6 linked regions of the Canis lupus familiaris genome follow. The protein of the gene in region 1 purifies or fractionates together with the protein of each later gene. This does not show direct contact. Links are inferred from orthologs where the notes say so. Each region holds a gene or a part of one and is shown in the gene's direction. Other genes may lie near its edges. The genes, in order: FYN, CD36, CDC37, PDGFRB, SKAP1 and HSP90AB1.

The links.
Region 2: the proteins of FYN (region 1) and CD36 purify together in Homo sapiens (affinity purification with western blotting; 3 studies listed by BioGRID). This does not show direct contact. The link is inferred for Canis lupus familiaris from reciprocal best matches to the Homo sapiens genes FYN and CD36.
Region 3: the proteins of FYN (region 1) and CDC37 purify together in Homo sapiens (affinity purification with mass spectrometry; 5 studies listed by BioGRID and IntAct, counting the BioPlex papers as one, with this or other methods). This does not show direct contact. The link is inferred for Canis lupus familiaris from reciprocal best matches to the Homo sapiens genes FYN and CDC37.
Region 4: the proteins of FYN (region 1) and PDGFRB purify together in Homo sapiens (pull-down; 3 studies listed by IntAct, with this or other methods). This does not show direct contact. The link is inferred for Canis lupus familiaris from reciprocal best matches to the Homo sapiens genes FYN and PDGFRB.
Region 5: the proteins of FYN (region 1) and SKAP1 purify together in Homo sapiens (affinity purification with western blotting; 3 studies listed by BioGRID and IntAct, with this or other methods). This does not show direct contact. The link is inferred for Canis lupus familiaris from reciprocal best matches to the Homo sapiens genes FYN and SKAP1.
Region 6: the proteins of FYN (region 1) and HSP90AB1 purify together in Homo sapiens (affinity purification with mass spectrometry; 4 studies listed by BioGRID and IntAct, with this or other methods). This does not show direct contact. The link is inferred for Canis lupus familiaris from reciprocal best matches to the Homo sapiens genes FYN and HSP90AB1.

What each region holds. Positions count from the first base shown.
Region 1 is NC_049233.1:68,551,084-68,555,700, reverse strand, and holds part of FYN (tyrosine-protein kinase Fyn), read left to right. Parts: intron 1-2,544; coding exon 2,545-2,648; intron 2,649-3,643; coding exon 3,644-3,793; intron 3,794-4,617. UniProt on the Homo sapiens protein: Non-receptor tyrosine-protein kinase that plays a role in many biological processes including regulation of cell growth and survival, cell adhesion, integrin-mediated signaling, cytoskeletal remodeling, cell motility, immune response and axon guidance.
Region 2 is NC_049239.1:20,646,422-20,651,038, forward strand, and holds part of CD36 (platelet glycoprotein 4), read left to right. Parts: intron 1-1,146; coding exon 1,147-1,216; intron 1,217-2,346; coding exon 2,347-2,534; intron 2,535-3,674; coding exon 3,675-3,793; intron 3,794-4,617.
Region 3 is NC_049241.1:51,123,974-51,129,128, forward strand, and holds the start of CDC37 (hsp90 co-chaperone Cdc37), read left to right. Parts: upstream 1-1,796; 5' UTR 1,797-1,900; coding exon 1,901-2,002; intron 2,003-5,155. UniProt on the Homo sapiens protein: Co-chaperone that binds to numerous kinases and promotes their interaction with the Hsp90 complex, resulting in stabilization and promotion of their activity. Inhibits HSP90AA1 ATPase activity.
Region 4 is NC_049225.1:59,864,772-59,869,388, forward strand, and holds part of PDGFRB (platelet-derived growth factor receptor beta precursor), read left to right. Parts: intron 1-1,367; coding exon 1,368-1,462; intron 1,463-2,603; coding exon 2,604-2,736; intron 2,737-3,271; coding exon 3,272-3,376; intron 3,377-3,720; coding exon 3,721-3,831; intron 3,832-4,617. UniProt on the Homo sapiens protein: Tyrosine-protein kinase that acts as a cell-surface receptor for homodimeric PDGFB and PDGFD and for heterodimers formed by PDGFA and PDGFB, and plays an essential role in the regulation of embryonic development, cell proliferation, survival, differentiation, chemotaxis and migration.
Region 5 is NC_049230.1:24,648,792-24,653,872, reverse strand, and holds the start of SKAP1 (src kinase-associated phosphoprotein 1), read left to right. Parts: upstream 1-1,815; 5' UTR 1,816-1,978; coding exon 1,979-2,024; intron 2,025-5,081. UniProt on the Homo sapiens protein: Positively regulates T-cell receptor signaling by enhancing the MAP kinase pathway. Required for optimal conjugation between T-cells and antigen-presenting cells by promoting the clustering of integrin ITGAL on the surface of T-cells.
Region 6 is NC_049233.1:12,851,360-12,855,132, forward strand, and holds the end of HSP90AB1 (heat shock protein HSP 90-beta), read left to right. Parts: coding exon 1-110; intron 111-332; coding exon 333-523; intron 524-633; coding exon 634-781; intron 782-904; coding exon 905-1,173; intron 1,174-2,074; coding exon 2,075-2,408; intron 2,409-2,520; coding exon 2,521-2,630; 3' UTR 2,631-2,899; downstream 2,900-3,773. UniProt on the Homo sapiens protein: Molecular chaperone that promotes the maturation, structural maintenance and proper regulation of specific target proteins involved for instance in cell cycle control and signal transduction. Undergoes a functional cycle linked to its ATPase activity.

The sequences.
Region 1 (4,617 bases):
GGGACAGGGAGGGGGGTGATCAAGGAGGCAAACAATTATCAAAGATCAGATTGAGTTCTTTCTTAGAGTAATGGGAAATATTAAGGGGGTACTGAAGACATACCTTCCATGCCCAGGTAGAAATATCTCACCTATGGCATGTTCCACAGCTCAGGGAATCCTCTGATGATGCATTTCTTTTATTTTTTTTTAAGATTGATTGATTGATTGATTGATTGATTGATTTATGATAGAGAGAGAGAGAGAGGCAGAGACAAAGGAGGAGGGAGAAGCAGGCTCCATGCCAGGAGCCTGACGTGGGACTCGATCCTGGGATTCCAGGATCGCGCCCTGGGCCAAAGGCAGGCGCCAAACCGCTGAGCCCCCCAGGGATCCCCTGATGATGCATTTCAAATGCTCCTCTCCTTTGAGTTGCCATCTTGGTTGGTTTCTGTGATGGTAAATCGTGACTCGCAGTTAACTGTCAGACCAAGGACTTCACTGGTACCGGTCTGGGAAGATGGTTGGCAGGCTGAGGGCATTCTAGAGGGGACAACCATCGTTCCTTCTCCTGGCCTGCGCAGAGTCATGGTCGCTTCCAAAAGGGAGAACTAATGAGAGTGGCCCGTGTGGCAACCCTCATTTCTGAACTGAGGGAAAGAAAACTGGCCCATGACTCCCAGATCCGGGGAACCTGTCCTCCTCCCTGACACCCTGGGCATCTGCCTCTTCTGGTGGCCTTGCCTGACCAGTAAGGGGGGCAAGGAGAGTCAGCCACGAAGCCCGCCATCCTTTGGCTCTGATATGGCATTTTGCCCTGGATTTGTTTAAGCACGACGGGGAGGATTAGACGGTGCACCCCAACCAAATTCCCAACAGGATCACTGTCTTGCCTTTAATTCCTTTATATTTGCTCTAAGGAGACCGGTTTTGTTTCCCACTCTCAAATACTCAGTTTTTTCTCCTAGGGAGTGTGTTTTATCATCAGAGAATAAAGGAATTTGTATTGAATTTTTATTTTGGGGGGCAGATTTGCCAACATCTGTGCGTTCTTTCAGAATAAAAGGTACCACTAAAAGGTGGCAATACTTTGATTTAACTGAGAACCTACCGACTATATATTTAAGCTATATTTGTAATGGTCAGTTTTTAAAATACGTGGTTCTTAAAGAATAAATTAGCATCTTAAGAAGATAACGCCTATGGCTTTACATAGGCAATTAATTACCATTATCTTAAAATGCTATTGTCTTGGTTCAGCCCATTGTTCCAACTGTTCTCTTTTCACCACCATTTGCATTTATACTGCGTTTTCATCCGGCAACCGATGCAAACCCAGAAAGTCATTTCTCGTAAATAATTGTTGTGATTCTCTTTATACCGTCTAGCGCTAAGTTAGGATTGTTGCACAGTCTGGTGCCTTTAAAAGTCACCGAGGAGCTCGCTTGGAGTGTGTCTTTTCTTATCTTCAGCGAGGCTCCTTCATTCACAAAAGAATTTGACAGTGAACACATAATAGCTATGTTCAAGTATAGTGAATTAAAATTTCATTTTAGAAATTGGATCCTCTCACAGTTGAATATTCTAAAATTGTGTCTGTGCACAGATTCCGACGGGGTTCTCCTGAATTCTGTCGTGGATTCCCACGGCACCTGCTGCTGCTCCCTCAGCAGCTAGTTGCAGAAACGTTAGCTAATTGCCAAGCCATGGTTAGGGCTAGAGAGCGGAAGGGAAGATAAAAGATGAACAGCAGAGATTGTGAGGTGACTTGACGCGACGCCTTCTCACACGGCACCAGGGTGTTGTCACGGGGAGGATAGGAAACAGCTGCAACAGCCAGTCGTTTGTGAGGCCGTGCTCGTTGACTGTGTAGTGACCTGTCCCTGCAGCTGAGCCAGAGCACACATGCGCAGATCCCCACCCATCTGCTGGGCAGATCTTCCATTTACACAAGTCCTCACACCTGCTGGCCAGGAAGAGCATGAAAGCAAGCATCCAAAGGCAGCAGTCATCTCAAATTAGGGGTAGTCTTGACAGCTTCTTTTTTTTTTTTTTTTTCCAAAATCACTGTAGGTACGAAGTTACTGAAAATATCACGTTTCTGTTCTTTATCCATCCTGACTTTTTTTTTTTCAATGCTTGATTAATGATCTTTACTTAGACTAAGGCTGCAGTTTCGTTATTTCCCAGGTGTTGTAATTATGCTCAGAAATCCAGGGTCTTATAGACATGCACGGAAAGGGTCTGCTGCACTTGCCATTTCAAAACAAGGTCTTAGATTTCTCTTCTTGTGAATGCAGGTGGCAGTGTTAACACAAACCAGTTCTTGTCACCTCTGGAAGAGAAGGAAAATCGCCCACGATTCCAATCTGATTTATTTTCTTCAAAGACTGAAAAAGATGGATTAGGGATGGAATCGGGAGCAGACTGAAAGGGAACTAGATGAGGCTAGGAAAACGTGGAAGGGGAAAGGCTAGGGATGCGATCGGAGGTGAGGAGGATCACTACTGCAGTTTTGTAAATGATCCCTTACAAAATGTTTCCTTCCCTTGATCTCATTTAAAGGTGGTACTTTGGAAAACTTGGCCGAAAAGATGCTGAGCGACAGCTTTTGTCCTTTGGAAACCCGAGAGGTACCTTTCTTATCCGTGAAAGTGAAACCACCAAAGGTAAGATAAGGAGTTGAAGAACTTGGTTGTCATTCAAATCTGTGGATTAGTCAGAGCAGATGAAAAGGCTTCTCTCTAACGTACAAGGATTTTTAAATGGCACATATCCTCCCCACCTTGTGAGCAGAGTCCTATTTTCAGTTTCCCCCCCAGGCTCTAGAACCACAGACAGCTCCAAAAGAACTGTAGAGGCTCAGAATCAAGCCCTTTCTCCCAAAACAGGGGCCAGGCAGCTTCACTCCTGCAGACATGCAAGATGATAGAATTCACGGCAGTTCTTTAGAGTTACTGATTTCTACAGCTTGTGGTTCCTCAGGCACCAATCCTACAGGTTATTTTTGCATTCCTTTTGTTTTTTCAAATCTGAGGACTGCTCTTCCTCCAACCACTGGCCTTCCATTATTTAACCACCCACACATCAGAGCCCACAAAAGGGAGCTGGGCCAAGGGAAAGGAGGAGCAGTGGCCTTCTAGCTTGATCTACTAGCCATGGTTATGTGCTCCTGAGACAGTGAAGTGGAATCTGAAGGCTCCCTTCTAGAGAAACGGTCCTTACCCTTCTTCAACACACGTGGCCACTGCCTCTGCAGCACTCCAGGGGTAAGGAAGATGAGGACAGAGACCCCAGCCTGCCTGTGTGTCTGTGTTTCTCTTCATCCGCCCCCAGGGGAGTTGGGTCTAATACCATATTAGGCAACACTAGGGTACTGAAGAGGGTCAGGACGCTTTCATTCTCAAGGATAAAATGACTTAATTGCTAATAACTTCTGGCATTTGCAAGAAAGATGTGTTTTCTTCTTCTGTTACTGAGTAGGAAGAGTGTGTGTGCATGCACATTTGCATGTGTGCAGATGCGCATGTGCAAACGTGCATGCACACATGCGTGTGTGTGTTCTCTTCATATTGATTAATCAGAATAGTCAGGTAAGTGAGACCCAAAAAACAAATGAGCTTTCAAAATTATTGGAGCTGCTAATGCTTTGCATATTTACCAGGTGCCTATTCACTGTCGATCCGAGATTGGGATGATATGAAAGGAGACCATGTCAAACATTATAAAATTCGCAAACTTGACAATGGTGGATACTATATTACCACCCGGGCCCAGTTTGAAACACTTCAGCAGCTTGTACAACATTACTCAGGTAACCCTGACTCTAGCTACTCACCACCGGGACACTGGAGGGAACGGGAGGCTCCTAGGGAGGTCGGGCGGGGAGGAGGTACAAGCATGAGCAAGGTCAGCAGTGGCATAGTTTTCTTTGCAGCCAGGCAAGGTGGGGCTTAGCTGAATAGGTTCTGTTGATGTCTTTTTACCATGGTTGTTATTAGTTCCACGCATTTGTCAAAAGATTCTAAAACATTCTAGTTCTCAAGTACGAAGCAATAGGTTAAATTGTAAATGTTGTCATCTTTTCCTGTTCCCCTGGGTCTGTAATCAGAAACCGTGACAGGAGAGGGAGCAGTGTCTGGGAGGGAACTCACGGTTGGGGGCGGGGGGGCTCCTGTCGAGGGTCCCCAGTTCACACTCAGCACTCACGGGACTGGCTGCACATGCTTTTCATTCCCATGACCAGATGCATTTTGCAGTCCATTTATCACGTTCCACTCCTCCACCACTTCGGCTATTTCCTAACTAGATGTAGACTGTGTGGCCCACAGCTCCTAGATCTGTTATAGCTATTGTATTAAATCCAGCTTACAAACAGTAACTAGATCAGTCGCTGTCCTAACACCCAGAGGTCACTGTTAGTGTGTTGTTCCTAGAAATATATGCTTATGAGGTATTTAGGTGTACAGTCCGCACATTTTAGTAAAGAATATGGTCTTATATACAAGTGTCAAAACGATTACTTTCTAAGATTAGCAAGGCTATCGCACCACATAACATATACACACAGGTGGATTTTTACATAGATGCACATGCATATACAGATCTATGTCCCATTGATCCCTGTAGTTTTTTCTG
Region 2 (4,617 bases), on another chromosome or scaffold:
TCCTGTTTTCAACAAATACAAACACATTCAGTGGTGTGGCTCGTTTTGGTGACACTGACTTGGGAAGCAAATGCAAGAGTTATCTAGCTATCTCTTCATATATCCAAGTGTGTGATGGATAGGTTTTCAATACATTTGGGGGAAATTCTGGTTAGTGAGAGAATTTTACTAAATGACTTTCAAAATATTTAGGGTGCCTAGGTGGCTCAGTCAATCAAGCATCTGCCTTTGGCTCAGCTCATGATCCTGAGGTCCTGGGATCGAGTCCCGTATTGGGCTCCCTGCTCAGTGGGGAACCTGCTTCACCCTCTCCCTCTGCCGGCTGCTCCCTCTGCTTGTGGTCTCTGTCAAATAAATAAAATCTTAAAAGAAAAATATTAATCAGCCATTAGGACAGATGAATGAATCACTATCAAAAGTAGGACAACATAAATCTAACAGAAGCTCTAAGAGAACTTCACGGTAAGACACTTCATAGTGAGAAAAGTGCCACACTACTGAGAAGGTGGGGGATTTCAAAAACTAACATTTAAAAACATGTGACTTTGGCATCATTTTTGTAAACTTTCATTTATTTTTAAGGAGTGGGAAGACTTAATATGAAATTAAATACCAATGAATATAAATTGGACTTATTGAATATGGCAGCTGCTGGCCACATGATGCTATTGAAGAAATTAAGAAATGTGCTTAATTGAATTGTGAATTGAAATGTGCTATAAATGTAAAATACACACTGGATTTTGTTAATTTTTATATCAATTACATGTTGAAATAATGGCATTTGAGACTTTTTTTTTTAAGATTTATTTATTTATTCATGAGAGACACAGAGAAAGAGAGACACAGACAGAGGGAGAAGCAGGCTCCATGCAGGGAGCCTGATGTGGGACTCGATCCCAGGACCCTGGGCTGAAGGCAGAGGTTCAACCACTGAGCCACCAAAGTTCCCCGAGATGTATTGGGTTAAATCAAATATACCCATTTCTTTTTATTTTCTAAAAAAATGTGGCTACTGAAGAATTTAAAAATTACATATACAATGTGCCTTATATTTCTATTGATTATACTGGAATAGAGATGTCTAGGTTTTTCTAGGACACACATTACATCTAATCCCTTGTCACTGGCTTGATTTTTAAACAGATGCAGCCTCATTTCCACCTTTTGTAGAGAAGACACGAGTATTGCGTTTCTTTTCCTCTGACATTTGCAGGTAAGACAAAGACACTGATGTAGTTCCGTGAGTCAGAATTTTTTTCCCCCAGTGACAAAACACAGACCAAGAAGCTCATACTTAATGATGTTACTGGAGAAAAAAGTACACATAGGGAGATTTTTCTGGATTTATTCAGAGTACAATATGGAACTCATAATGTGCTTATTAACTTTTATAAAAATTGAGGGCTGCAGAAGGATAATATACAGAATGCAAATTATTTTCTTTCTCATTTTTAAGTAAGAGCTATTTTTTCGTTTTTTATTTTTTATTGTTTTACTACACTAGAACTATATTCAATAACAGTCACGTCTAGGACATGCCCATCTTTTTTAATGATGTCCAGGGAAAATGATGCCATTGTCACCGACTATGTTAATGAGCTCTAGTGCTACTACTGCCCCTTTTAAGATTGGTGGGTCCAGCAGATATCACACAAGCATTGGAGCCCAAGGCAGTCCACTTGAGTCCTTGCCCTGTTCCTAAAGAATGTATCATTATGAAAAAAAAAAATGTATCATTATGGGCAAACATTTGAAATCTCTCAATGTTTTCCTTATCAGTAAAATTGAAGAGAGCAGTGTTTCTTCATATAGGGTTATGTGGGAATTAGAAGAAATATGTATTGATCCCCAGCACATTGTCTAGGTATGGGTGAGTACTCAGTAAATGGTGGGGGTGCACAGGAAATAATGAGATCTATGTATCAAGAACTCACCTACACACGCCCCAGTGAGTCCGTGGCCTTCCCTCCAGGATTAAATTTTGAAAGAAAGAAATTTTAATTGTATTTCATGTAAAGTGGGCACAAACAGGGATTTGAGGGAAGTCATATAAATATTTAATGCATAGAGGAAATTAACTATGAGAAATGTCTTCAGTATAAATTCCCATGGTAGTTCACAAAAACTGCTCTTGGAAGCTTTTGAGACTAAAGGTAAGAAGAGCTCTTACTCGAATTATTGTATGTCCTGGTATGCCCTGAAATTTCACAAAGATTTTTTTTTCCTGTGAATTACATGAGAGTTTAAAATTCTAACAAGAATATAAATCTAAAAATAAAAGAAAAAAATCTCCAGAATGAAGTTCAGTTTCCTGGAATAAAGTTCTTTCTTATCTGTGTTTAGGTCAATCTATGCTGTGTTTGGAGCTGAAATTAACCTGAAAGGAATTCCTGTCTATAGATTTGTTCTTCCATCCATGGCCTTTGCATCTCCACTTCAAAATCCAGATAATCATTGTTTCTGCACAGAAAAAGTTATCTCAAATAACTGCACATCATATGGTGTGCTAGACATTGGCAAATGCAAAGAAGGTAAGTGTTCTCAGTACCACAGTCCATTATATAATCTGCAGTAGTCTGAAATGCAGCCTTTACCCAAGATCCCTTTCCACCAAAATTTAAAATCAAAGTGAGAAAGCAAGTGGTGGTAGAGAAGTGTTGTTTTGCTTTTCAGGTCCAAATTGTGTGTCAATGTTGTGAAACTTTAGTTATTATTAGGTAAAACCATACTGATGTTTTCCCTTCTATTTTCGTAAATGTCTCTTTCGGGCCTTATTTCATTTTTTAAAAATGGGTTGTGTGGTGTTTGTGTTTTTTTGTTTGTTTGTTTGTTTTTTTAGAGTTCTATGAATCCATTGTGTATTTTTGATATTAACTACTTATTGGATATTGGTTTGTTGTAACCATTCCATAGTTAGCCCTTTCATTTTGTTGGTTTCCCGTGCTCTTTTCAGGTAAGATAAAAATAATTCCTAGGATATTCTGAGCATACCAACTTATCCGTCTGCCATTTTTCTAGCTTTTTCTTCCCTAGAAATTGATTAATAAAAATATGTTTTCAGGGACATCTGGGTGGCTCAGTGGTTGAGCGTCTGCCTTTGGTTCACGTTGTGATCCTGGAGTCTGGGATCGAGTCCCACATCAGGCTCCTTGCATGGAGCCTGTTTCTCCCTCTATGTCTCTGCCTCTCTCTCTGTGTTTCTCATGAATAAATAAAGATAAAATCATAAAAAAATATATGTTTTCAGTATGTCTCTGAAACAAGAATTGACTTAAATACAATTTGAAGTCCATCTAGTTTAGTGCACCTCCTTCATATTGGGATGAATGTGAATGGAAAAAGAAAATCTACTAAATTCTCAGTTCACAGATATATTACTCACTGAAATATGAACATAATGGTTGAAATTTTGTGCTCAGCAGCTACATTTTACATATTGAAAATGAACACCTCAGGAAAAACAATTGACATTAGTTGGATGATGCAGAGATTTGTATTTTATTTTTTGTACAATAGTGATCAGATCATACAACTTCTTCCCCCATCAGTGTTCAAGCCCAGTTATGTCTTCTTTTATTGAAAAAGTTATATTTTTAAGGAACTATTTTCCTAGTGGTACGTGAAATGAGGAAAACTTTTTATCCCAAATTATCTTTTAAATTTATTTTCAGGAAAACCTGTGTATATTTCACTTCCTCATTTTCTACATGCAAGTCCTGATATTGGAGAACCTATTGAAGGCTTAAGTCCAAATGAAGATGAACATACCACATACTTAGATGTTGAACCTGTAAGCAAATATATTATTGATCTGATTTGATTCATTAAATTGAAAGAAAAAATAAATTCTCTTGTTAATCATTTATTGACTCACAGTCTTGATAAATTACTACTTTTATTTCAGTGAAAATTACATTGATTTCTTTCTTGTGTTGGTTATGAAATATCAAGGTCATTAAACTTTAGTTTTTCATCATATGGAACTTTATAGGCCTTTTTAATGGTTCCTAAGTCAGGAATACCAATGATAGGAATGATTCTAATTGGCTTAAAACAATTTAATATGTATAAAATAAGCATAAAACAATAATTCATGGGATACCTGAGTGACTCAGTTGGTTAAGCGTTCAATTTTTTATTTCAGCTCAGGTCATGATCTCAGGGTCATGAGATGGAGCCTGCCCCTTGCTTACTGGGGAGTCTGCTTGAAGATTCTCTCCCTCTGCCTCTCCCTCTCTCAGATAAATAAATCTTTAAAAAGAGAGAGAGAGAGGGAGAGAGATTTTATGGGTATATGTGAATTCGGGGCAAGATCTATTATACTTAGTGTCAAGAAAAATTAATTAAAAATTCCTATAGCTCAACAGTTTAATTTATTTAAATATTTTCCTCTTCAGAAGTTAAATGAAATATTTTAGTGGTCATGTGTCAGTTTAAATGATAGAACTAGTTATTATAATTAAACTGATGATACATTGATTCTGACTGAATATACGATTGGTGATGCATAGTTCAGCAATCTATATGAGTTCTGGGTTTCAGTATTGTTAATTACTCAAAACCATTTTTGGTAAATACCTCAAATCTAACTAAAACCTTGAGATTTGATTGATC
Region 3 (5,155 bases), on another chromosome or scaffold:
GCTGGCAGATTAGGAAAGTCTTGGCGCTGATGGGGAAGCCTCCGGCGCCCTGTCCCCAATTCTAGGAGCTGGAGGGCTCCTGGGACCCCGTTTCACTGGGGCCGGTCGGCTCCAGTCTCGGAAGCCACGGAAAGAGCTCCGCGGAAACCCGGGAATCTCTAGCATCTGGGGTCCTCTCCACACATCCACAGCCGGGAGGCCGGCCCCAAAGGGCGTACCGCAGGGCCTCGGCTTTCTCGGGGAGCGGGAAACCCCACAGCGTCCTGGTCCCCTCCCTCCGGGGTGCCGGGTCCCCTTCCCCACCGCAGCTCGCAGCCGCGAAGCTTACCTTGCAGAGAGGGGCTGGGGAGGGAATGCCCCGCCCTCTCCGGCCTGAGGGCAGGAGGGGACAGGGGTGTCCAGACCCTTTGTTTGCTGTTGTGTGTGTATGTGTGTGTGCGCGATTGTGAGACCCGCTGGGGTGTGGGTCCGTGCGCGCGCGCGCCCGGGCCTTGACGGCCGCAGAGATGCTGGACTGCCTGGGCTCAAGGGGGAGGGGGGGGAGGAGGGGGGACTCCCCCGCCCCCGCCCGCCCACTCGCGGGTTTGAAAGATGCTCGAGGGGGAGGGGAGGCAGCGGGCGGGCGCTTTTGTCCGGAAGGCCCCTCCCCTTCCCTGGGCTGGGGAATCCCCCCATTTTGAGCCCTTTAATCCATTCCCTCCAGCCCGCTCTCTGCAAACACCTTCTGGGGGGTAGTCTGGGTAAAACGCCCCTCATCCGAGAGGCTGGAGCTCCTCCCATCCCACCCGCCCCCACGGAACGCCCTTTAATCTGAGATAATCCTGGCCCTAGGCTGCAACACGGCCTTTTATCCCAGTATCAAAACGAGGGTGGGGATGCACGCAAGTGTGCAGCTGGGGTCACCCAAGCTCACAGTAATGGAGTCTTTAGAGTCCCGGCGGAGTAAGGGGGCTCCAGACCAAAGGGGAGGGGCTACGAACGATTCTAGAGTACCACCACGAGGAAAGCCTCCATCCGCACCTCCACGATCCCCTTCCAGCCCCCCGGCTGCGCGGGGCCAGGAGCAAAGGCCCCCTTTGGCTAGACATTAGTGACACCCAGCGGCCGCACGGGGAGACGCCTCGGACAGGAGTCCGAGATCCGTTGACTCGGGCGGGGGCGGGTAGGGAGGAGCCGGGGTGGATCTGGGTGATTTTAGAGGGGGCGTGTGTGCGCGAATCCCGGCTCAGGAATGTCACAGGCCGGGGACGCGAGGGGGAGAATGGTCCGAGCTAGGGAAACACCAGCTCCCAAGGCAGGGCCACATCGCCCCCACAGCCGACCCCCCAAGGGCGGAGCCACGTCCCTCCTCCACTTAGAACTTTCCTGGGAAGGGCTCTGTACCCCAGGACTGGGAAAGTGCTCTCATCAGACACCCCTCCCCAGCACAGGGTTAGGTCCTCTTCTCCAGGGGCAGAGGGACAGGTCTTCGCGCCGAAGCCCGCCCCTGCAGTGGGCTCCGGCTGACGTCACTGCGGCGTGGCTAAGGGGACAATCCTCTGCTACAGTCTCGCCATCGGCCCCGCCTCCCGAGGCCGCCGCAAACGCGCACCGGGGGGACAGCTGGAGATGAGGGGGGCTCGAGGTTGGAACGCCAGCCCGTATACCCTCACGAGGTGCCCAATGAGGCGGGGTCTTTGCCGGGATTCCCGGGGGCCGGAACACGTGCGCGGGACCCTTTAAGGCAAGCCGGGTCTCCACAGCCGCCACCGCGGTTACTAGGGATGTAACGTCATGCGCGGGCGGGGACGTGCGCGCCAGGGCGGAAGCGGAAGGGGCGGGGCTCCGCAGGCCGAGTCTCCAGCGCTGCCGCCGCCAGAGTCAGACCCGGAGCCGGAGCGGGCTGAGCCGCCGAGGCAAGATGGTGGACTACAGCGTGTGGGACCACATCGAGGTGTCTGACGATGAGGACGAGACGCACCCCAATATCGACACGGCCAGCCTCTTCCGCTGGCGGCACCAGGTAGGGTGCGCGCGCCCGTCCCCTTCCCCCCTCCCCCCCGCCCGGGACTCCGCTCCAGAGTTCTGACCCCTAGTACTGCCAGGGACCCCGCCATTGACACCTGGGATTCCCAGCGCATAGTCTGGGCTTTCAGTACCGCTTGGGGTTCTTCGATTCGACTCCAGACCTCAGAATTGCCAGGGCGCTGAGTCCCTACCAGAGGTCCCCGGCCTCCCCTCCGATTTCTGCGTGGAGCTCCCAGTTGACCCTTAGAGCACCTTCCTCCGAGTCTAAACTGCTAAGAGAAGCTTTGGGGGTGTCCCCCCAATCCTTTCTGGGACCTTCCACTTAACACGCAAAACTCTGCCTCGGAGCTGGACTCTTGATCCTGTTCCGGGAGACATTTCTGATCTTGGATGTACCATCTGCCCCTCCCCAAATCCTAGAGTCTTCGGTGCTTTGAATTTATTCGGAGATCTTCCTCCCTGGTTCCTGACAGGGATTCCCATTCCTTCTCCAAACAGAACAAGGAACCCTGCCCTCCCCTGAGGTTTCTGCTCTTGGCTTGAGAGTCCAACCCATACCCGGACCCCTTCTGTAGAACGTAGCTGGATGCTCCACCAGGGCCTTCGGTCTCATCTAGGATGGAGTTTTGGAACCCGCTTGCCCAAACCGGACCACCAGGTCCCCCTGATGGAGTCTCGAATTCCAGCCACTCTTTAGCGTCACCTACTGTGGACCCTGTTTCTCATTATACCAGGAAACCCTGCCCCACAGGGCTTCCGGCCCCTCCAGAGCCCCTGCTCCTCCTTGGTATTGCAGGCCCAGGCACCACCCACCCCCAACAGTTTCCTGTAGAAGCCTCTGGCAGCCTTGGAATGCCTTCTACCAACTCAAGTCCAGCACCCAAACCCACCCAACCTTCCTCCTGACCCCAGCTTGGTCTGTTGCTCTCAGACACCCACATGTGCCTGCTCTAAGGACCCTCCCAATTTGATTCCAGATTTACTGCCCCTTCTTTTTTTGTCTGTTTGCCCCCAAATCCAGATCCCAGAATCCTGTCTGCTTGTTGTCCCATCTCCCTGCCCAGCAGTGCTCACAGGACAACAGAGCAGCTCTCATAAGACTTAATATTCTAATCTCTTGCTCCCCCAAATCGGAGCTTCTACACCCACATACTTGTGCGTGTTATACTCTCACTTTGAGGGCGTATACCTCTCAGAACCTTCCAGTTAGGAATTCCTCACTCCACCCTCGCATATGGCAACTCCCAGTCATTTATCCAGAACCTCCTAGAAGGGCCCTTCCCCATCCTGTGGTGTCTTTAGTCCCTACATCTGGTCTCCAGTACCATTTCCAACCCTTACCTTAAAGCAGCACTCTTGGGTAACATACCTACCAGGCAAGCCACGGAGAATGTAAGAAGAAAGTTCTAGCACTTCCATTTTTTGCCATGTGTAACATTTTATTATGAAATGCTTAAGACTCAACACAGAGCTCTAAAGACTGTTCTTGGGAGTACCTACTTTTGTCACATAAAGAGGTTAATCTATACAGCTATGTGGAGAGCATTTTGGTCCTGCTGGGTGGGAAACCAGTGCCCCCTCTCCTGCAGAGTTCTCCCGACCCTGCCTTCCTCCCTCCTGGAACAGAACCTTTTCTTGTCCTGCTGAGGACCCTATGGCTGTAGTGGAATCAGGTGGGGGTGGGGCGGGGGGGAGGGGAGAGAAGCATCTCTAGCCCCAGCTTCAGTGACAGGCAAGTTTGGGTTCTAATCCCAGCCCTACCACTTACTGCTTTACTTTTCCTGCCCCTAGAGACCATCCGAAGAATGAAATGAGATTAGGCCTGACAAGAACTTGGCTCCGGGCCTGGGAGGGAGTAAGCATATAGGAGGGGGAGGCAAGATTAGGAAAAAGGTAGCCTGCTGCACTTCTGAGCACAGGCCTGCACAACTGGGTTCCAGTCCTGGCTCCTGAATCACTGACTTACTGCATGACCTCCAGCAAGTTGTTTGATCTCTTTGTGCCTTGGTTTCCCCAGTTGGGAATATTAAGGGTATCCACCCGATAGGGTTGTTATGAGAGGTTACTCTATTGAGTACGTGTGATGTCCTTAAGGATAGCACGTGGCACGTGATAAGCTCTCTGTAAACTTTAGCAGTTACCGTCATTGTTATTGTTTAGGTAATCCGTGCTCCGGGAAAGAAAGATTCCAGAGGTGCCAGAAAGAGACAAGGGAGTGTCCCAGCCCCACCTCCCTTGTCCAGATACAGCTACTGTTAAACTAGTTTCTTGGGACTCCTTTCATCAAACTATGGCGCTGTGATTCTGTGAGCGTCAGGTTCTTTGTAAGGCTGGAAGGTGGTGACACCTGCAGGTCCCAGCTTCCTGCTGTGGCCCCTGTCACACCCAGGCTGCCACAGCCCCTCCCAGAGGTGGAAAGCCCGTGCTGGGCAGGCTGCCGCCCCCACCAGCTCCAGGAGGCCTTTATTTAGCTCCAGTCTCCCTGGCGGCCACTCAGAGGACATCGAGAAGAGCTCAGTGGCCACCCAGCAGAAGCCAGCAGGGTGGTAGGCTCCTGCTGCCACCCGAGGCCAGCTAGAATGCCAACCCCAGAGAGCCCCGCAGCAGGAAGCCCCCAGGGCACCCCAGGCCCCAGAGGGGAAAATGGCAGAGCCCCAGGCCTCTCTCTTACTCTTCCAGGAGGCAAGGGCCCTTTCGGCCTTGACACAGCTGGGGAAAGTGAGACTCTGGACTGTCAGCAGTCCTGTGGGGCTAAGTTAGAGAAGGCTCAAGGCTTCCCCATTCTCACCTACTGCGTGCCTGACTCTGCTCAAACTTGGAGATACAGCCTCAGAGAAGGCCCAGAAGTGAGTGAGTGAACCACTCTGGGGCCAGTGGCCAGGATGGTGACGCTAACAGCGGAATGTGTTCATTACGTAGGACTGCGTGCAGTTTCCTGGGAGTAACTCCTTTGATGCTGCGTTTTTCCCAAAGAGGAACTAACTCCAAGGCTAGAAGTGTTTAAGTGTCTTAGCCAAGGTCACGTCACCAGTACGCGGTGGAGCTGGGTGATGTGACAGTGCGGTAACAACCACTCCCAGGTATTGAGCATGTGCTCTGGGTTGGAAATTGATGGAAACACTCGAAGTATGCTTTCTTGTTTGAGCCC
Region 4 (4,617 bases), on another chromosome or scaffold:
GTGCCAACTGGCATAGCGCATGTCTGTAAGCATGGAGTTGCAGCACACCTTTCCGTGAAAGCCCGCAAACACAGTCTCTGCACACAGATGCCTGCTGTACGATGCAGATCTACGAGCAGGTACACATGCATATATTCATATGTGTCCACCAGCGCCTGGATGCTTTTGCTGCCTGCCAGTCCCTATGCATGCATACACCCCTGTGCTTGTACTTCGTTGACTCTCTCCTTCCTCTTTCTCACTGGAGAAGGCCAAGCCCTGCCTGCCCTTCTAGTGCCCACAGTCCAGAGCAACAGCAGACAAGCAATTAGGCAATCCCACTGCAGGGGGCAGTACTTTGGGGGGGAAAACCTACAGGGAGGAGGGGCTCCATGCCCAGCCGTGGGATTCAGGCAAGTGGGCACCTGCAGACCAGCCCCGAGCAAGACAGAAGTAAAGCTTTTCTGTGTCACAGGAGGAGGCGGGCATGTACCAGCCCACAGGGAAACTACCGTGGCTGCACGAAGTCTCTTCCTTTTATTCAGATGGCTCCTTAGAATTTCAGACTTCCTTCCCAGGACTGGGATGTGTGACCGAGTGGGGAGAGAGGAGAGGAGTTGTTCTGGGGCCCTGAGGAGGAGGGACAGGGCCTCTAGGGGTGCTTAGAGGGGCAAGTGAGGGACAGAGGAAGAGGGAACGAAGTCCTCAGGGACCCCATGGGTGGCCAGTGGGGCAGAGTAGGGGGGATGAGGATCTGGCTGGGGTAGATGCAGGGGCAGGGAAGGGGAGATGAGGGTGTGGCTGGGATGGATGTAGAGGCAGGGGAAGAGAAAGGGAACTTGTGCAGCAAAGAGGTTGAGGCCTTAGGGAAGAGACTTGGGGCATGGGGCCCAGAGTCAGCCCCACTTGGCTACCCCTGTTCCCTGGGGGATGCACCTTATAACTCCAACACCCCTGGGTGCTTGGGATGAAGCCAGGAGGAAACGATCTGTATCCATCAGGCTGTGGGAGCTCAGTCACAGGCTGTGACAGCCCTGGGCAAGGGCCTGGATTCAGAGGCGAGGCGAGTCCAGTCGTCAGGAGCTGGCATCCAATCTGGAGCCATGGCAGACTGGCCAGACTGACCCCTGCAAAGGCTGAAGGCATATGGGGGCCCAGAGAATCTGAGCTGCAGTTGTTACTGAGGGGTGTGGGTTCTGATGGCAGAGGCTGAAGGTATGGCCCAGACGGAGGGGCTGACATCACAGGCCGTGGCTGGTGGAGGGAGGCTTCCATCCCGGGCAGGACAGGCAGAGAGGATCTGCGGTACCAACGGTGGGGGGTGAGGGGCACGGGGCAGCTGCCAAGCTCCTTGTCTCCTTACGGTCAGCTCTTGTCTCTGCCTCCAGCTCTGCCCTTCAAGGTGGTGGTGATCTCGGCCATCCTGGCCTTGGTGGTTCTCACAATCATCTCCCTCATCATCCTCATCATGCTCTGGCAAAAGGTAACCTCCTATCCCCACTAATGGGTGCAGGTTAACACTCTAGGTTTTCTGCATGGAGCCCCCTACTGTCCTTGAGTGTCACAGGACCCGGCCACCTCCCTGCCCTGCACAGAAGGCAGGTGTAAAATGACGTGCAGTGCCAGTGGGTGTCCAAGCTGCCTCCACCCCCAGCAGGAGAGGCTGTCTTGGGCCTGGTCCGGGCCCTCCAAGGTCCCTTGCCTCTGCTCTGCCCTCCCAGGTTTTGCTTGGACATCAGCCCTGTCCCCAACCCTGCCACGACACAGGGCAAGGCACTTTCTGGGTGGACTACATGGGCTCCAGGGTTCTTCCAGCTCTCACCCCGAGACTCCCAGGCTTCTGCTGAAATGCATTCTAATCCTATTAACCTGTAATTTCAGTGCTCTGTTCAGAGAGGCTTCACCATTCTGTGATCCCAACATTTTAAGATTCCTGAGTTAGGATTGCAGCACCCATGATTCTATCATTCTGAGATTCCAATCCTGTGATTCCAACATCCTGTGATTTCAACATCCTAAGCTTATATCTTTTTGAGATATCCACTGCGAGTGACCGAGCATGGGAGGGCTGTCCAGACCTAGCTGAGTGCCCGTAGCTTGTGTCACTTCTCAGGGCTGCCCACCCCTCTACTTCCATCTGGGAAGCAGTTGGGGCTCTGGGAGAAGCTGATGAGGAAGTTTTTTTTTTTTTTTAAAAAAGATTTTATTTATTTATATATGAGAGACACACAGAGAGAGAAAGAGGCAGAGGGAGAAGCAGGCTCCATGCAGGGAGCCTGACGTGGGACTCGATCCTGAGTCTCCAGGATCAGGCCCTGGGCTGAAGGCGGCGCTAAACTGCTGAGCCACCTGGGCTGCCCCAAGATGAGGAAGTTCTGATGAACCGGGCCCTTGGCTGTTAGCTGCTCCTCAGCCATGGTCATGCTGAGGCCTCTTGCCACCTGTTCTCACTGAGCCCATGAGGCTGGTTTTATCAGTAACTTGCTCTGTGACTTCAAATATGCCTCTGCCTCTCTTTGGGCCTCAGAGTCTCGTGCTGCATCTGTTATATAAGGGGCTATGGGCTTGTGGGCCTCAAAGCCCAGACCTCCTGTGGTGATCCATCCCTGGTGCTGGTCCCGCAGAAGCCACGTTATGAGATCCGATGGAAGGTGATTGAATCCGTGAGCTCCGATGGCCATGAGTACATCTACGTGGACCCTATGCAGCTGCCCTACGACTCCACCTGGGAGCTGCCGAGGGACCAGCTCGTGCTTGGTCAGTCCAGAGTGTCCCTGTGTGGCAGTCTGGGAACTTGAGGCGGGTGGGAAGACTGAGGTGTGGCCCAGCTTTGCCATGACTAGCTTTGAGACCTAGGGCTCCTGTCCTGCCTTCCTTCCATACAATGGGGCGAGATGATCCCCCAGGGACCATTCAGCATTGAGGTCCTATGGTCCTGTGACTGTGACATAGGAGCCCTTTGTGGCAAGAGATGTATTAATCGAGGACAGGCTGCATGTCAAGCCTGTGCTTGGTCTAGCTGGGAAGGCTGAGACACGCTGAGGAGCTGAGTTCCCTTCCGGGGTGGGAGGAAGGCTTCCAGGGACTGCAGATGGGCCAGAAAGCAGGCAGGACTTAGCTAAGACTAAGTCAGCTGAGACTTTGCAGGGAAGGGCTGCAAAACACTGTGGACTTAGGAGACTCCTTGAGGGGAACACTTTAAGTCCAGGTTGGCTTCGAGGATTGATCTCAGAGAGAGTGAGGGATGCAGACTCCTGGTGGGCCAGGTGCTGACGGATCATCTCCACCATAGGACGTACGCTCGGCTCTGGGGCCTTTGGGCAGGTGGTGGAGGCGACGGCTCACGGCCTAAGCCATTCGCAGGCCACGATGAAAGTGGCAGTCAAGATGCTGAAATGTGAGTCCTGGCAGCCTGCCGCTTCCTCACATCTGGGCCCCCACCTCCTCCCTGCCCCCTGCTCACACATTCAGGCCCTCCCTGATTCTGATTTGCTGGCCACAGCAATGCAGCCACCTGGAGGCCAGCCCCACTCCAGATTCTGCTCTGGCTAAGAGGCTGCCTGCCCACCTTCCTGGTACCTCCTTCCCTCCCTGACCTTCCTTCTGTCTCCTTCTCCTCCCCCTACTCGTGGGCCCTTGCCACCTTAGGCCATGGGAGTCCTACAGCACAGGGTGGGGCCAAAGGGCCTTTTTGGGGCCCTGGCAACAGGGCAGCCTGAGGCCTCATCTCTGCCCCCTCAGCCACAGCCCGCAGCAGCGAGAAGCAGGCCCTCATGTCAGAGCTGAAGATCATGAGTCACCTCGGGCCCCATCTAAATGTGGTCAACTTGCTGGGGGCCTGCACCAAAGGAGGTACTAAAACCACTCCCCCAGAGCATTCTGGAAAATGCCAGTAGCCTAAGCCGGCCCCTCCCCTGGCCCTCTGTCCACAGATGACAGGACACTCCAGCTGGAGGGTCTGCACGCAGCCTGTCCAGTGCCCTCATTTCACAGACCCAGGTGGAGGGGTGGGCTTTACAAACTCATGGAATCACAGCACCTTCAAGGCCCGAGGACTCCTTAGACTGGCCATTTCCAAACTCAGGGGTCCTCTGATGTGTTTAAATTTTCACAAGACATTTGACAAGCTCACAAACCCCAGCCCCCTGGGAGGTGAGTTATATCCCCACATCTGGAGACCAGCGCCAGCATGCTGGCTTATTCCGCTTCTGTTCAGGTCATAGAATAACGTCCCTCCAGCCGGTGTGTTTGTTTGAGGCTCTGATGGCAAGTTAGGCCATAACAAAAAAAAAAAGAAGTATTATCATTGTTTGCAGCTGCTTATTGTGAGATTTGGGATTTTCCTCAGTATTGTGCAACCAAAAGAAAATACAGAAGTGCGTTGCACACTCAGGCCAATTTATGTCCGCAAGATTACCCGTTTCAAAATCTTTTGTTTTCATCAATATCATCAAGTTCCCACTGATTGACTTGAACTAAGTGCACTGTATTTGGACCGAAACAGCAGCTTGATATGAAATAGTTGCCTTTATTTACTTTATGTTCTGGGCTCCAGAATAAGCTTTAGTTTGAAAAACCTCTGGGTGTCCTTGCTACGTGCCCGGCCCTGAGCCGAGCTGATAAAGGCATCATCTTAGG
Region 5 (5,081 bases), on another chromosome or scaffold:
AGTTACAATTCTATAGAAGGAGCAGTTGAGTATGATAAAAATGCCCTAGCAGGGACCTGGTATTTGCTCCCGAGTCTAGAGAAGGCAGCTTGTCTATTGTTAACTTTTCCAGAGCAAGAAGGAGCAGCAGTAGGAGCCAGAGTCCCCAGAGACACCCTTCCTGCCCCAGCCCCTGTCTCTCCACCCCCAGCCCAATTTGCTACAACTTGTGGATGGATCATGTGATCCTGGAACCAAGGGACCATTCCTCTTCAGATTGCAGGATGTGGACATGTAAAGATAGTCATTACAAGCCTACATTACAAAGCCACTGCACCCCTTAAAGGATCAAGCCCCCAACCTTGGGAAACTATGCCAGGAGGCAGGCAGTGCCACTCCCTGTCCTTCTGGACAGTTTCTCCTTATGGCTTCCATCCCCAAATCCGTGGTTCCATCAACATTTTCCCCTGAGGCTGCTGTAAAAAACCACTCACCCATCTTCCCTGTGTTCTCTCTCCCTCACTGCTTTCAATCCTTCCCACATATTCTTGTTGTATGCAAGAATCTGAGACTAGAAACTCCATTTTTTATAAAGAAGGAAAATGTGAAATGTGCAAGATCACACAACTACACAGGTCACATGCCACAGCTCAAAACTTGTCAATGTCTCCCCAGTTGAGTTCAAAATCCTCATTCTGACTTTCAAGTCCCTTTACAATAAGACTTCACGTTTTCTTGACAGCCATGATTTCCCTATACCATCCAGTAAAAGGGTTATTCGCTGTTCCTCAAGCAAAAGGTTTTTCCATCTTTTTTTATTCTGTTCTTTCCACCTGAAAAGCCCTCCTGCCCCTTCCAAGCCTGGTGTGTTCAGGGCCCATCTTGAATGTCATATGCACCATTAAACACATATGCACCCACACTTCTCTCCTTTTTTAAAAAAATATATTTGTCTCCCTCCTTTTACGCTCATGGCACTTTCTGCTTTCATGGCACTTGGTTTATTGAGCTTAAAAAACTCCACAAAGGTTTTTGAGGTCACTGAGATTCACAGAAGTTAAAAGAAATGATACAGAGCGATCCTCTCTACCCCTTCCTTACTCGTTTCCACCAGTGGTAACATCTTGCAATACTACAGTTTCAGATCGCAAGCAGGATAGGGACCCATACTGTATTTTGGAGGAGGGGAGGAGAACACTTCTGTGATCTCCCGTTCTTCACTTTCCTCCCTTTGCCAGCTGTTAGAGGCAAAAGGCTGGCGTCCTCTCTCCCCCCCGCCTTCTTCGGGGTTACCCCATCCTTTCCTGGCATCCTTACAGCCTTAGGGAGGGACACTGGCTCCCTGTATCCGCTGCAGCCGCGCCGCTCCGCTCCTCCCCAGTGTTGGTGGCTTTATTATTTGAGACCTGCAGCCGTTCCTTTGAGACAGGGGTTTGCCCGAGATAGTGGACGTTCTGCCCCGTTTTCTGGGCGTGGACGTGCGAGCCGGATCGGGAACTGCTTGCCGCGGGGCTCGGCGGGGACGGCCTCCCCGCGTTCTGCGGCTCCGCGCCCCACTCCGGGCACCACCGTGGCTTTGGGACGCGTCCCTTGAGGCCCACCGGCCAGTACTTAGGGTAGAAAGTGTCCCAGGAGATGAAGTTCCTTTGGGCCGCGTTTAGTCTTTTGTTCCGGTGCGGGGAGAAGGGGTGGCTGTGCGGCTCCCCGCCCCCCAGTGCTTCCACCTGCGGGCGCCGCGGGAGTGGCGCGGGCACCCGCGCACAGGTGTTCCCCCCAACACCGCCCGGGGCGCGCCCCCCGCCCGCCGCGCGCGCCACTTCCTGAGCGCGCCCCGGGCCCGCGGCCCCGCCCTGCGGCCAGGCCGGGCTGCCGCAGCAGCGGCGACAGAGGTACAGGTGCCTCCGCCGGAGACAGCCGCCTGCCAGCCCGCGGGCTTTGGCTCCAGGCCTTCACGGCCGCTCTCCCGCCTCACACTCCGGCCTCCCCGCAGCCCGGCCAAATGCAGGCCGTCGCCCTCCCCGAGGAGATCCGTTGGCTCATGGAAGGTAACGCCCTGGCCCGGCCCCAGGCCCCCCTCCCGGCCCCCTGGGAAGTCCCGCAGGTGCAGAGCTGGAGGCCCGAGCCGAGACCCAGGGGCTCCCAAGACCGGCCTCTCTTTTCGGCTCCATCATCCACAGCCTTCCAGAACCTCAAGACTGCTGGAACCCTCAACTCTGCAGACCCAGATTTCATCCTGTCCGCTCAGGGTCCCATTCACTCCCCCTCAGTTCCACATTTTTCTTTTTCTTTTCTTTTCTTTTCTTTTCTTTTCTTTTCTTTTCTTTTCTTTTCTTTTCTTTTCTTTTCTTTTCTTTTCTTTTCTTTCTTTTTTTTCTTTTCTTTTCTTTTCTTTTCTTTCTTTCTTTCTTTCTTTCTTTCTTTCTTTCTTTCTTTCTTTCTTCTTTCCTTTCTTTTCTTTCCTTTCTTTCCTCTTTTTAAAGATTTTATTCATGAGAGACACACAGAGAGAGGTAGAGACACAGGCGGAGGGAAAGCAGGCCCCATGCAGGGAGGCTGATGTGGGACTCGATCCCAGGACTCCAGGATCATGCCTCCAGCAGAAGGCAGACGAGCCACCCCGGCGTCCCCACATTTTATTTCTTCCTCGAGGCATCTCCACCCACCCTCCACTTCACCTTCCAGGCTTCTGAACAACGTCTGGCCAGGTTCTTGGCAGGGGGGGGGGGCCTCCATGCGACCTTGCATGGTCTTTGGCCAGACCCTTTCTCCTCGGGACAGTACCCCGACGCCTGTGGGGTTTTGCCTTTCCTCCCTCCCCAGCCCCGAAGCCCCTCACCTTCTTGCTCCAGGTCCTCGAGGCTCTCGGGGGCTGTGAGGGGCTCGAGGGGCTCGTGGGATGCTGTTGGCCAAGGCCTGGGGCTAAGTGTGAGTTTTGTCGGTGCCGAAGGCCCCAGCCTCCTTTTGCCAGCCTGCAGACTTCTGCGGGTCTTGCTGTCTACCCAGGGCAGGTGGATGCAGTATTAAGTTTCTAACTCTTCTAGAAATGCCCCACACTGGTGTGTTTACCTTCAAACTATGGTGCCTAAGCAGTCCTTTTAAGAGTTAAGGCCATATTCAGCAACACTCCACAGATGCTTCTAACACTGGAAAGAGACTTTTTGCTAATGGGCAATATCTCCAGCTCCATTCACACTGCTTTCTGGCAAAAGTGATTTGCTTTCCTGTAACTGACCTTCCTGGAAGGACAGAGGCCTGGAATCTGTCCTTGCATAAGCGTCCCAGGAGGAAACGACTCTGAATTAAGCCTTTTGGCATCCAAGTGACATTTTTGACACATATTTAACAGATGGCCTGCTTTGGGCAGGTCAGACTTTTGGCAAGGAGTTTTTTTTTTTTTTTTTTTTTTTCAGTTTCTCTCAATGTAATTGGTTTTATATCTCCATTACCTTGTTATCTTGGTATAAATGCCTCCTAATCAAATATTTGGCAGTCCTTTTGGTCTCTGTTTGTAGCACTGTTTCCATTCTGGATTGCTTCTATGTAAAAGCTGTCAACGAGGTATTTCTTTTGAGGTGAAGTTTCCAAAATCCACTTTACTTATATGACCCGAGTAAATCTAAACTTTCAGAGTAGAAAAGTATTTGTAGGGTGAAGCAGCATCATCTGGGTGTCTGAGAAGAAGCAATCCAGCCTCTCTTTCTGCCATTGGTTCAATATTGTATGTTGAATGTAAAGAGAGACTCAAAGTGTGATGGTTTCTGGGAGAGAAGGAACTGTGGCAAAAAATGTAATTCTGCCCTTGTGTTTAAAAATATAAAGTGATTATTTTTATTGGTATCTGTCATTTGATGAGAGGAAACCTATTTTACCAGCTTGTTAAACTATACTTCCGTTTTGTGTGCAGCTTTAGTAGGAAATTCTTTTTTATTTTCAGAGGCTTGCAATGAAATACACTCCTTCAACATTTTTGATGTGCAGTTCTTTATTGTTCAAAACTGACACTTTGGTAAACAACTCATTTCTGTACCTGCCACCTTCCTTTAGCTTAGATTATTTTCTTGTTAGCTGACTGTTTTTAATTGAAGTCTTCAGATCTCCTTCTAAAGCAGAACCTTTGTTTGCTGACAAGTAGAGCAGGGTATGAATGGAGATTAATTGCATGTCACATACTTCTGTGTCAAACTTGCTGTGTCTTAACAATCTGTGTTGGTGCCTGGGTCTTTAGAATCTATAGAGGAGTCTGAGATTAAATTTTAAGGAGCTTCGTTGGTTAATGTATTTCTTTAAGGCCTTTTTTTTAAAGTTTGCAATTAGAATCTGAATCTGAAGGAGAGGGGGGATTCCAACCAATAATTCTATTGAAAAATGTTTGAGGACTATGTTTTTGAAAGGTTCATGTAATCATAACACATTGGTTATAGGTTTGTTTTTTTTTAATGATATATAGTCTCTGGTGTAGACCAACAGAATTATTCATTATACTACAAATAATCTGTGGATATTAGAAACCCATAATGACTTTCAATTTATTGTCTGTTGCTGTGTACTTGTCTCCCCACCACACACACTTTTTAAGGTTAACTGTTGACAATTAGAAAATATGTAGGTCCTGATCTCTATATTGTCACTCAGTGGAGAAAGTCACAGGGTGAGAGAGCTGCCACTTTAGTGCTGCCACATGGTTGTGGGGGTGGAGTTTCCACAATGAATTACTACTTTCATAAACCAAGGCATAAGCATTCGCATGGTGATTTAACGCTGGCCATCACGGCCATAACTTAAGCATTTATTTATTTATAACTACATGAACAGAAATGACAGGGGTGTTTTTTGACATAATATGTGTGCTTTTAAAAATAAAATATGCAAAGCATTATGAAAGGTTTATGCCAAAATTTTGCATAATGAAGAAAGGAACAGAAATGTTGAAGGTCTAAAATTAATTTTAAGGATAAAATTTTAAACATTTGAAAATGTTTCATTTGACCTAGAAACTCCACTTCTGGGAATCTATGTTACTGAATTTAAAGGACATGAAGTATATATGTACAAGGATCCATCTTAAATGTCCAGGAGTTGGGAAAGGCAGGGCAATGGTATGA
Region 6 (3,773 bases), about 56 Mb from region 1:
GGCTCCTTTTGACCTCTTTGAGAACAAGAAGAAAAAGAACAATATCAAACTGTATGTCCGCCGTGTGTTTATCATGGACAGCTGTGATGAATTGATACCAGAGTATCTCAGTGAGTATTCTCTTGGCCTCATGTAGTTAGTTGGGTAAGTCCTGTGAAGTTTCCTCAGCATTCTCAAAGACTTGAGGTCTTTTCATTTTCTAAAAAGGAAGGAAAAAAGTCTTCATTGTAGCTAACATGGCTAGTAAAGGTTCAGTGAGAAAATGGGTCCTATTAAATTTACATAATCTTGCATAGTTCATTTTTAACTGTTTTCTTCCTGGTCGATTACAGACTTCATCCGTGGTGTGGTTGACTCCGAGGACCTGCCCCTGAACATCTCCCGAGAAATGCTCCAGCAGAGCAAAATCTTGAAGGTCATTCGCAAAAATATTGTGAAGAAGTGCCTTGAGCTCTTCTCTGAATTGGCAGAAGACAAGGAGAACTATAAGAAATTCTATGAGGCATTCTCTAAAAACCTAAAGGTACAGAAGCAACAGATTATTATTGAATATTCATGGTGGAGGATTTTTTTTAATTCACGTAGAAGGTAATGTTATTTAGAAGTAAAATTGTTTTTTTCTTACCCTGGAAGCTTGGAATCCATGAAGATTCCACTAACCGGCGCCGCCTTTCTGAGCTGCTGCGTTACCACACTTCCCAATCTGGAGATGAGATGACTTCTCTTTCAGAGTATGTGTCCCGTATGAAGGAGACTCAGAAATCCATCTATTACATCACTGGTGCGTTGGAGCTTGGGTCTGATCAAAGGCTCTCAGGGTGAAAGGGAGGGAGGACATTTGGGAATCTCTGGGAACTGGCAGGAGGCGACATTCTGACCCGAGTCACACTCCATAACTCTACAGGTGAGAGCAAAGAGCAGGTTGCCAACTCCGCTTTTGTGGAGCGAGTGCGGAAACGGGGCTTCGAGGTAGTGTATATGACAGAGCCTATCGACGAGTACTGCGTGCAACAGCTCAAGGAGTTTGATGGGAAGAGTCTGGTCTCAGTTACCAAGGAGGGCCTGGAGTTGCCTGAGGATGAAGAGGAGAAGAAGAAAATGGAGGAGAGCAAGGCCAAGTTCGAGAATCTCTGCAAACTCATGAAGGAAATCTTGGATAAGAAGGTTGAAAAGGTGAGCAACTCTGGGAGTAGGGCATGTGTCTTGTAAACAAGTGCTCTCAGAATCTTGTGGCATTACACAATTAGATTTATTTTTATTTTATTTTTTTTATTTATTTATTTATTTTTTTAATTTTATTTATTTATGATAGTCACATAGAGAGAGAGAGAGAGAGGCAGAGACACAGGCAGAGGGAGAAGCAGGCTCCATGCACCGGGAGCCCGATGTGGGATTCGATCCCGGGTCTCCAGGATCGTGCCCTGGGCCAAAGGCAGGCGCCAAACCGCTGCGCCACCCAGGGATCCCTAGATTTATTTTTAAAGATTGTATTTATTTATTCATGAGAGACACACAGGCAGAGAGAGAAGCCGTCTCCATGCAGGGATCTCGTTGTGGGACTCAACCCCAGGACTCTCCAGGATCATGCCCTGGGCTGAAGGCAGGCACTAAACTGCTGAGCCACCCAGGGATCCCAGATTTTTTAAGATTTCAATCATTTATGAGAGAGGCAGAGACCTGGAGAGGCAGGTTCTCTGCAGGGACTCTGATGCAGGACCAGGACCACGCCTTGAGCTGAAGGCTGATGCTCAGATCCTGAGCCACCTAGGCATCTCTAGCTTTGAGTTTTTGAGTAGAACTCATATAACATATAGGGATCCCTGGGTGGCCCAGCGCGCGATCCTGGAGATCCGGGATCGAATCCCACGTCAGGCTCCCGGTACATGGAGCCTGCTTCTCCCTCTGCCTGTGTCTCTGCCCCCCCCCCCCCCCCCCCCCCCCCGTGACTATCATAAATAAATAAAAAAAATGTAAAAAAAAGAATTAAAAAAAATAGAACTTAACATATAGTCATTTTGGCCTGGAAATGATAATCTGATGCACCATCAATGGGAGTTTCTGTAATTGTCTACAGGTGACCATCTCTAACAGGCTGGTATCTTCACCCTGCTGCATCGTGACTAGCACTTATGGCTGGACTGCCAACATGGAGCGGATCATGAAAGCCCAGGCACTCCGGGACAACTCTACAATGGGCTATATGATGGCCAAAAAGCATCTGGAGATCAACCCTGACCACCCCATTGTGGAGACGCTGCGGCAGAAGGCAGAGGCAGATAAGAACGACAAGGCTGTCAAGGACCTGGTGGTGCTACTGTTTGAAACAGCTCTACTCTCCTCCGGCTTCTCACTGGAGGATCCCCAGACTCACTCCAACCGCATTTACCGCATGATCAAGCTAGGCCTGGGTGGGTGCCAGTTACCAGAGTGTGCCAAGGAACTGGGGAGTTGGTCTCATGGGGGACAAAGATGATTTACTGGTATTTGGATCAAAGTTCACAGGCCTTTTTTACTTTCTAGGCATCGATGAAGATGAAGTGGCAGCGGAGGAACCCAGTGCTGCTGTTCCTGATGAGATCCCTCCACTTGAGGGTGATGAGGATGCCTCTCGCATGGAAGAAGTCGATTAATTTCTCCTTGCAGACCTTGTGCCCTCTGTATAGTGTCCCCATGGCTCCCCAGCAGCCCTGAGTGGCCCCGGTTCACCTGGTTCCCTCTGCTGATGTCTAGTGGATTTTTTTTTTTCTCCTCCTGTCTTTGTTAGAGGCAGGACAGAAGGGCCTTAAGCCCTAGCCCTCATGACATTTGACAAGGGGTTTGGATGTGTATTGTGGTGTTTGTTTATTTTGTTCTGAGATTAAAGTATGCAAAATAAAGAAGATACGGTTTTATACAGTTATGCTCTCCCTTGTAAAGTGGATTTCCTGCTGCTTTTTGAGTTTCCTTAGCTTTTCTTTTTTTTTTTTTTTTTTTTTAAATTTTTATTTATTTATGATAGTCACAGAGAGAGAGAGAGGCAGAGACGCAGGCAGAGGGAGAAGCAGGCTCCATGCACCGGGAGCCTGACGTGGGATTCGATCCCGGGTCTCCAGGATCGCGCCCTGGGCCAAAGGCAGGCGCTAAACCACTGCGCCACCCAGGGATCCCTTCCTTAGCTTTTCTATCCCAAGCTTTACCTGGTCATTCTTCAGGTACATTGAAAACTAAGGTCACCCTATAGCCATTTAGCACTTTTCAAGTCACCCAACATTGCTTCTAAAGGGTAGTCTCAGACCAGCATGTGTAACACCATGCCCTTTATATCCGTCCCCTTCCTAAAGCATACACTTCAGTCAACCAAAACACCGGACTTTAAAGCCCATTGCAGCAGTTTAATTTAATAAAATAAAATTATAAGAGCAAAAAGTTACATTTCCAAGGTACCAAAACCTGCAACTGGCTCTTTGAGCAGAACCTAGGGATCCAGGAGCAGAGGGTGGTATCACTGGGCAGGGTTCTCCCATCCCCCTCCTCCAGCACAGCACCCGCTTTCACGGACTCCTGGGAAAGCAGCACTTGGAGCCTACAACACTTGTGCTTTTCTCACCAGAGTAAGAACTGTAGGTCTCTGGGAGTCTGCAAGGGTGGGCTGTTCAGGGTAGGGGACAAGCACTGGTGAGGTGTTGGAGCCCATAGGGCAAGACTTCAGGGAATTTGAGGGGGTGGAGGCTTTGGAAGGTCCCTCTGTCTTCTCAGCATCCCTCCACACTGAGGAGGACGGTCCTCTACCCTTG